Linked DNA regions of Bombyx mori. The protein of the gene in region 2 interacts with the protein of the main gene of each other region in a biochemical or structural test. Links are inferred from orthologs where the notes say so. Each region holds a gene or a part of one and is shown on either strand. Other genes may lie near its edges.

Evidence for each region. The genes of interacting proteins can lie anywhere in the genome.
Region 1: the proteins of Ubx (region 2) and homeobox protein extradenticle are reported together in a solved structure, tested with the Drosophila melanogaster proteins (2 studies listed by BioGRID). The link is inferred for Bombyx mori from reciprocal best matches to the Drosophila melanogaster genes Ubx and exd.

Annotation. Positions count from the first base shown.
Region 1 is NC_085121.1:1,663,033-1,667,377, reverse strand, and holds the start of homeobox protein extradenticle, read left to right. Parts: upstream 1-1,439; coding exon 1,440-1,698; intron 1,699-1,971; coding exon 1,972-2,124; intron 2,125-3,195; coding exon of another isoform or gene 3,196-3,198; coding exon 3,199-3,359; intron 3,360-4,345. UniProt on the Drosophila melanogaster protein: Transcription factor which acts with the selector homeodomain proteins altering the regulation of downstream target genes such as wingless (wg), teashirt (tsh) and decapentaplegic (dpp), thus affecting segmental identity.
Region 2 is NC_085112.1:6,103,877-6,108,153, reverse strand, and holds the start of Ubx (ultrabithorax), read left to right. Parts: upstream 1-1,372; coding exon 1,373-1,835; intron 1,836-4,277. UniProt on the Drosophila melanogaster protein: Sequence-specific transcription factor which is part of a developmental regulatory system that provides cells with specific positional identities on the anterior-posterior axis. Binds the consensus region 5'-TTAAT[GT][GA]-3'.

The sequences.
Region 1 (4,345 bases), on a different chromosome or scaffold from region 2:
CATCTAGACACGGACAGAGCAACATCTAAGAGTTTTATAAAAATAAAATATTATAATGGCGTAATAGTGTACTAAGTATTTGCAATATGTGTTTTGTAAATGGCCCCTCACCTACAGAACCCAGTCCCCCTCAAATTTAACAGTCCAACACCGTCAGTTCCATAATTACTCATTGTCCCTCTTAAAAGAGGAAAAACAGGTGACCAGTGCAAAGTATCTTACAATATATATAGGAGTCTCATCATGCTTGCAGATGTTTAATGACCAACCAGGAACTCGAAATCGTAGATTGGAATTGCTAAAAAAAATTATAGCTGCAATGTTCAATTATTTTGTACGGCAGCAATAGGCGGGGTGGTGATAACTACCCGTGTGGACTCATTAGAGGTTTTACCTCGAGTAAGCAGTTAAACACATTAAAACATTTGTACCAAATTTTATTTTACTTTATTTTATTTTTAACTCTCGATGTCTCGTACAGTATGACAATTCTTGTGAATTTGAAACCATATCAAACGCGATAAAAAATAGTTTAATTTAATCGACATTTTAGAATTCGTCGAAGCCCCTTCTTTTAAAAGCAAACATTTATTCCTAGTTAATAGCCATGTTATTAAGTTATTAAAACAAGACAGCCGTTTAATATTAAAAGTACCTACCTAATTAAAATAAACACGTCCTTTCTTAATATCACTACGGGTAAACAAAGCCATTACATCATAAAACAGGAGGGTGCAGTCAATTTGATTGATGACTGATATGAATTTATATTTTTATTTGCTTTGCAAATGTGACAAGTGCTTCAAATAATCCTTCACCGGTTAGTGATTAACCACCTGTTTTATAAGTCGTGATGTGATCATGCACAAACCATTTGAGACACGGGCCTTTTTCGAACGACAGGTACAAATTAGCTTATTAGTTACTATGAGAAGTAGCTAACCATGGAAACCTCTCATATTCTGTAAGCACTTCTCAATATTAAGTGTATAATCTATGTTCTGCATAGTCCATAGATTAAACGTACTTTATGGTAGGTTATGGTTTAAGTTTTCAACTCTTATGTTGGCAGTGAGATCTGTGAGATAGCAGCTTACGCTAGACATTAATCTCAGCGGTTGTCTCTTTCTCGCTTTAATTTACTCTGTTCATAGTGATGAGATTGAGCGTGATAGGAACAGTTTTAACGTATAGTTTAATTGTTTGTTTTCTTTTTCCAGTGTGAAACATTTGATTACATTTGACAGCACAAGTACAAACTGGCACAAAGGGAGGCGGCCATTTTATAGTTGGTATTCAACGAGTGGAGTTTCGTTCTTCACGTTTACTTTGAATTTTGGTTTACCAATTGAAATTGAAAATCACGTACAAAATAAGTATACGTAATTAGAATAAGACATTAAAGTTATTTATGTATTGACTGTCAAGACCAGTTAGCAATGGACGATCCGAACCGGATGATGGCGCATAGCGGCGGAATGATGGGACCGCAGGGTTATGGGCTGCCTGGAGGAGAAGGCGCACCAGCCTCTGAAGGAGGCGAAGCTCGCAAGCAGGACATTGGCGAAATTTTACAACAAATAATGAACATTACAGATCAAAGCTTAGATGAAGCGCAGGCGAGAAAACACACGCTGAACTGCCATAGAATGAAGCCTGCTCTGTTTTCAGTACTCTGTGAAATTAAAGAAAAGACAGGTATTTATTGTTTTATCTCATCGATGGAGATGTTACAGATATAAATATTATATAAACATTAATAACATAAACATTTGATGTTAAACATAAACAATTTCTACAAGTTACAGAAGTTTGCCTTAAACAAGGGACATGTAACAACATAAAAGATAAAATCAGATACAAAAGTCCAAAACAAAAAATTGTTAATTATGAAGATTAAATTTTCATTTGAATCACGATTCCTATATATTTTGTAACTCTTACATCAAATAAACTTCCTATAATCCGCAGTGCTATCTCTGAGAAACACTCAAGAGGAGGAGCCACCTGATCCCCAGCTGATGAGGCTTGACAATATGTTGATTGCGGAGGGTGTAGCTGGACCAGAGAAAGGTGGAGGTGCTGGTGCTGCCGCCTCGGCATCTGCTGCGGCCGGTGAATGGGGTAAATTGAAATTGATTACATTTAAAAATTTCCAGTTGAAGTTCTTACAAAGGAATAGAAAAAAAATCATATATTAGTATTTATCAATGAACCCGTGTATAAATTTGAATGCTCTTTTTATATGATAGTTTTCCAGTCACCACATTTATTAACAATAGTACATTTGAAAGTTATCTTACCAATGAGTAATTTAGTTTAGATGTACTGAAAAAGCTCAAGGGTCTGTAGATATTCTTATCACAGTGAAAAGTGGTGAAAAGTGGTTTTAAAAAAGTAAATGTTCATGCATTACAATTATTTTGCCAAAAGACCTGTAAACTTAAATTAAAACTAGACTATAGATTAGATTTGGAAATATTTCATCATTTGATAATTTTTCAAGTAGTTCTAAAATCATATAATAATTAGGAAACCTTTTTGTCTTAATATTTACTAATAGTCTATATGTTTCTATGTTATGTCTAACTTATATTTATTAGTTAATTGCCTACCTTGTGTTATGGATAGGTAAGCATCACAGTCACGTAGAGAATATATATAGTTCATATAAAAATATTAATGGCATAATCATGTAGTCTGATCCATATAAATGGATATTTGGGTTAAATCATAAATGACTTCAAACTAGAATTCCCCTTTTGCAGGAGGAGTAGAGTTAATATGGCTTTCTAAATTTAAGTCTGTAATATATATTAGATACTCAAACAAACCTATTTGTCAACATTATTGGCCCAATGGGGGATTCCAACCAACAAAATTCAGCCTAACAGTCAGGGGCAACCAAGTCAAAGTTTTGATGATCAGTATTAGAATTGGCTGACATTGTAGAATTTTTCAAACATACAGATAAATGTCATACACTTCTAAAAATTTGGATATAAAAACCTTTTTTATTATTATTAAATACTAGCATTTCACTCTAATAACTTTTGATTGAATTGGTATTCAAGGAATGTCAGATTAAAGTGCAGTAAAAATACTAATTGCTTGTATAAATAGATAGAATAGAATTAAAAAAAAAAAAAAATTGTAAAGTAATGTCGTGCGGCAACTAAGTGACTGTTACTCAAGCAGATAATGCCATCGAGCACTCGGACTACCGTGCAAAACTGGCGCAGATACGGCAGATCTATCATCAGGAGCTCGACAAGTACGAGAATGCCTGCAATGAGTTCACTACACACGTCATGAATTTGCTAAGAGAGCAAAGTCGCACCAGACCTATCACCCCTAAGGTATTTTGAACAAAATTATATAAGCTGTCTTGTAATTAATAATAAGTACAGTTTTCAATAATAATAATCGCTACATAGTACAAAACAAAGTTGCTTTCTCTGTCCCTATATCTGTATGTATGCTTAAATCTTTAAAACTACACAACAGATTTTGAGGCCGTTTTTTTAATAGATAGAGTGATTGAAGAGGAAGGTTTATATTTATAATAACATCCATTACATAGTGGAGAAATTAATAATAAATTACAGTTTCCGACGCGAAGCGAGGGCGGGTTGTTAGTAATATATAAATTACTTTCTAACTTATACCTGGCCGATTGGTTGCGCTGGTTTAAAACTGTTAGTTTTAAGTTTCGAAAAATAGCAACATTTTAATTTGGTTTTGCAAATCCTGTCCCATCCCTCTCCGGCACTTTTACCTACGGATGCGTGCGAGCGAGATCGTGTGGTGACATCAAAGACGAAAAAATATGGCTGAACAACCGCGCGCGCGCTTCGTGTCTTTGTTATGTTAAATACGTAAATAAGTGAAATCGTTGGTGTTTCTCATCGCGGAGTGGTACGAGTCTGCAGCAAGGACTACATAAAGGTATTGTGCATCCTTCCTTTAACGCAGAACTGCCACTTCTTATCGTTTCTTCCCGCAGTCTGTGTCCTTCATTTGCAACGACCAAATTTCAAATATTTCGTAGTTTGCTTATCTCGCGTCTACATTTTTTGGTCCAAACGAGCCGGATTCGTATTAAATCAGCGCCAACCATTGCCTAGGTTACCTAATTTACCTAATATCATTAGAACCGCGTACCAAGTAGGTACTTCGAAAAAATATCGCTTTTCCTGCTTTCGTCTTAAATATCGTTTTCGTTCACATTATAATCACTTATTTACAATATCAAATTAGGTAGATAGAAAACCCGCGTTCTGGTTTCTTATATTATTCTTTGTTAGATCACCGGTCGAGCGTACGCCTCGAGCCGGCCGCATAC
Region 2 (4,277 bases):
ATAAAAGTGTTAAACTTGTCATTTTACATATATCATTTTTAATAAATAAATAAAAAAACGTCTCAATACCCGGATCTAAAGGAAATATTTACATACGAAGGCGCAATAAAAATGCGTTCAATTCTTAAGGGTAGGGCGCACCATTCATTCGTTTGACGACTTCATTTGGTCGCGCGAAGTGAACTCGCGATAATGCGCTATTGTTTACCCTCCGATAGTGCGTTGTCCACTGCATGCGCTACACAGCGCGAGACCAAGACCGCTATACACTAATCAGCCCCGCTCGGATGATAACCGTTCCGCGCTCGACGCGCTGTCCCTTTCGCTCTCGAACGGGCGCCTTAAGCAAGAGAGCAATAGAAACATCACTCGTAAAAACAGGTAGTAGAAGAAATAATAATCATCTTTACGACTTCTCACTCTATTCAGCACCTTGTTACGATACTGAACGCTCATTGTGGCACGGTCGACGAGTGGCTGTAAAATCTTTTCTTTACTCGCCCGTTTCACTAATTGTACGTTTATGAGTTTACGACTTTTGCGGCTTAACTTTTTCGTTCTATTCATTTTTGAGGCTTTTGTTGAGGCTCTTCAAAAGTTTTGTTACGCGGTCGTCCGAAGATACATAAATTGTTAAAAGAAAACATATAGTTTATAATAGGATTTGATGTTATTGAGTTCTCTCTTAAGTCATATAAATGTCAGTTATTAACCTAGGTATTCTGAAGTAGAGCAGCTAAAGTTCTAGTTTGTTTGACGAACGTTCGCCACGTGCTCGAGTGGGTGTGATAAGGAAAGGAAAAGAGAGCGTAACTGATAATATTTATAGTGATTAGCGAAAAGGGGACGGAACAATAGTCGTTGGGCTGCGATGGTAGCAGTGAGCGCGGGGCGGCGCGCGTGTCTCAGCCGCGCTCAGTACATTGCGTGAGCCGCGTCGCGCCGGTCGCACACGACACACAGCCGCGCGCTCCCGCCACACGCGACGGAAAACTTCGCTCGCGACACAAGCCTCCGGCCCATACACCACCACGATCACTTCTGATTTCATACAGTGGAGACGCGCTCTCGGCTGACGTCCTGAGACGAGCCGGCGCCGCAGACGAAACCGCTTAAAAAGTCGTAAAACCCGCGGCACGCGCTCCCGAGTCGTAAAATAATCGTAAAAAGTAAACACACGTCAACTGGCCTTTATCGCCGACGAAGCCCATTATGACGCTTTAGTGACGTTTAAGAGGCAATAAAATTAATAAAAATAAATTACGTTGTCCGTATTTGGTGTGACATTGGCGGAGGTCGCGTTATCACGGCGCGCGGGGCCGCGATGACATAAGTGTTCCCTGAGTGACGTTAGTGCCTGTGACTGGTCACGATGAACTCTTACTTCGAGCAGGGTGGTTTTTACGGGGCCCATGGAGTGCACCAGGGCGGCGGTGGTGGAGACCAGTACCGCGGCTTCCCTCTGGGCCTCACGTATGCACAGCCACACGCTTTGCACCAGCCTCGTCCTCAGGATTCACCGTACGACGCGTCTGTCGCGGCGGCCTGCAAGCTCTATGCTGGAGAGCAGCAATATCCTAAAGCAGATTGTTCAAAGCCAGGCGGTGAGCAGCAGAATGGCTATGGTGGGAAAGAAGCCTGGGGCTCAGGTCTGGGAGCACTAGTGAGGCCGGCAGCATGCACTCCTGAAGCTCGATACAGTGAGTCGTCAAGTCCTGGTAGAGCGCTTCCGTGGGGCAACCAGTGTGCACTTCCGGGATCAGCAGCATCAGCCGCGCAGCCAGTGCACCAGCAGCCTACTAACCACACTTTCTACCCTTGGATGGCCATAGCAGGTTAGTAAGTTAAAAAAAATTATCTCGATCACAACTCTATATAAATTGAATATGCAATTTCGAAAAGGGCACACCTCTGAAAATGTAAAATGTTCAGGAAATGAAAAAAAACTGATTATTTTCTAAAGCAGTGTAAAATTTAAAATATTAACTTTTGAAATATATTTTAAGTGTTAATTAGCAATTGAAAATTACGGGAATTATTATAAAATGGGTGTAGGTAAGCCTCAAAACTACATGTATATGAAAAAACGTATTTGACAAAATATGCGACATGTGCCCTTTTCGAAATTGCATATTCGATTGAAGTGTATTATTGCGATCGTAGGTGCAGTTTTTTTTTTGATAAAATTAATTGCCGAAGTCTCTACCTATTAATATTGTATATTACATATTTGTTTACAAATATCACTGAAATTTATGATTCTATATTTAAAAATATATTGCGTTTCCCATAAAAAACTCGTCAACATTTAATATACATAAGTGGAAATGAGAGGCGTAACAAAAATATGTCACGTCCGATACCCCGTAAAAATCACTAAAATGCTGCCATCCTGTTTGGCACACATAATCGGGCCACTTCAGAATCGTCCATTAATGTTTCCTAAGAGTCCAATACTAACCGGCAGGTAGCCGACAAATCAAGTGTCAATAAAAAGCACATAAAACGAACGACCCTCGTTAACACCTTATTAGTGAGACAGATTTGAGTACCATTAATAATTTTATTGCGGACAAAACTCAGGATCCTCCAAATTACTAATTTGTAACGATAAATTGATATCAGTGATTTGATCATAAAATCTTTGGTGTAGACTTCCTGAATGTTGATGGTTCGTAGCAACGGAACTGGTATATAAATTATAGAGCTATGGAACTGGATTATTTGAAATAAAGTTCTCGTGTCTTAAAATTTTTTTTGGAACAAAACTAACAAGGTTTGTGAATTAAAATACGATTTAATCTTGGACTGGACTATACGGAGATTTAGCAGAACATATTATACCTACTTTTTTTACCGGACGACAAAACACTAAAATATTTCGAGAGAATGTAAAATAAAGAGACAAATATGTTGTCGATATTTACTTGTGTTCTCTTTTCTGACCCATAACAATTTAAATTAATTTTATAAATACATTAATAAAGCTAAGAAATAAAATAAAATAAAAGTTATTTATTATTAAAAGTTGTATATTTATTTTATTACTATCTAAAAATAAATAAAACGTTTAACAATCCTTCAATACTTAACACATACTTTAAGATGAAATTTTTCAGGTTCAAAATTGATTGTGTAGGCATAAAGTAAAGCAAAAAGCGCTATTTTAGTGGCCCAACGAGGCAGGAGAGGTGCGCCCGCGCCGCCCGCCCGGGTCAATGGCCCGGTCTAGTTTTGGGCGCATTATTATTAACTTACTGCCACTGACCATTCGACAAATGACCATCCCATTAAGAGCGCTTCAATCTTCAAACATACGTTTCGGTAAACATTCAATTCATGCACTTAAAAGATAAAATAACGCTTTAAAAATGTTTTACAAAATATCTAATACGGCATATTAGTTGGTATAGATTAGAATTTAAGTCTTATAAGAATCGATTCTCTCTCATTCGTAGTAGTTTTTCTGGAAAAGAAGTCCTATTCGAATTTCGATTGAATCGATTAGTTCACCTGGGCCGGCGACGAGTAATTAATGCTACGCGTGTGGTCCCGCCTCGTCATAATTCATGCGACTTGATAAAAATTAAGTAACAGGGCCTAAAAAATAACAAAATAAAATGAGAAGTCGAACCGTCGGCTATAATTCACTGTGGGTTCACGCAACACAGGCCGCGAAACAATACAAGGACGCTTGTTGGACGTGGCATGTATGAAAAGTTCGGGCTTGTCCATGAACGGTCCCTGCTGTTCATTTGGACAGTTTGCTAATTTGTAATACCTGTAAAGTAAACCTTTTTTGGTATAAATACCTAAAACATAGGTAATTTGGTATAAATTCCTATAAATATAGAAAGAAAAAAAAATTGTGGAGCTGTAAATGTAACTAATTTAGTGAAGCAAACGATAAATACGGTATAAGTTGAAGCTCGAAATTGCAATCACATGCTCCCGATCTTACTGCTATATAATTGAGGACTTAAATTACAGGGCCGTGGACTTCTTTTTTTTAAATTTGTTACAAGCGGTTTTTAAATGGAACAAAATAAAAACAAGAAAAATTATTTGGTGGAATAATTTTCATTTTCAATCATACGACAATTATTATGACCCTTCAAACAGCGACTTGAATCTTTCTCTTCTTACTTGGTGCACATTCGTTCTGTAGAGGCTTTTACACATTCCGATTCTTCAAAACTTGATATTGAAAAATATCAATTACATATAGCAGATTATTTTACCTTATTACTGTACAAAAACAGAAATACTGTCAAAAT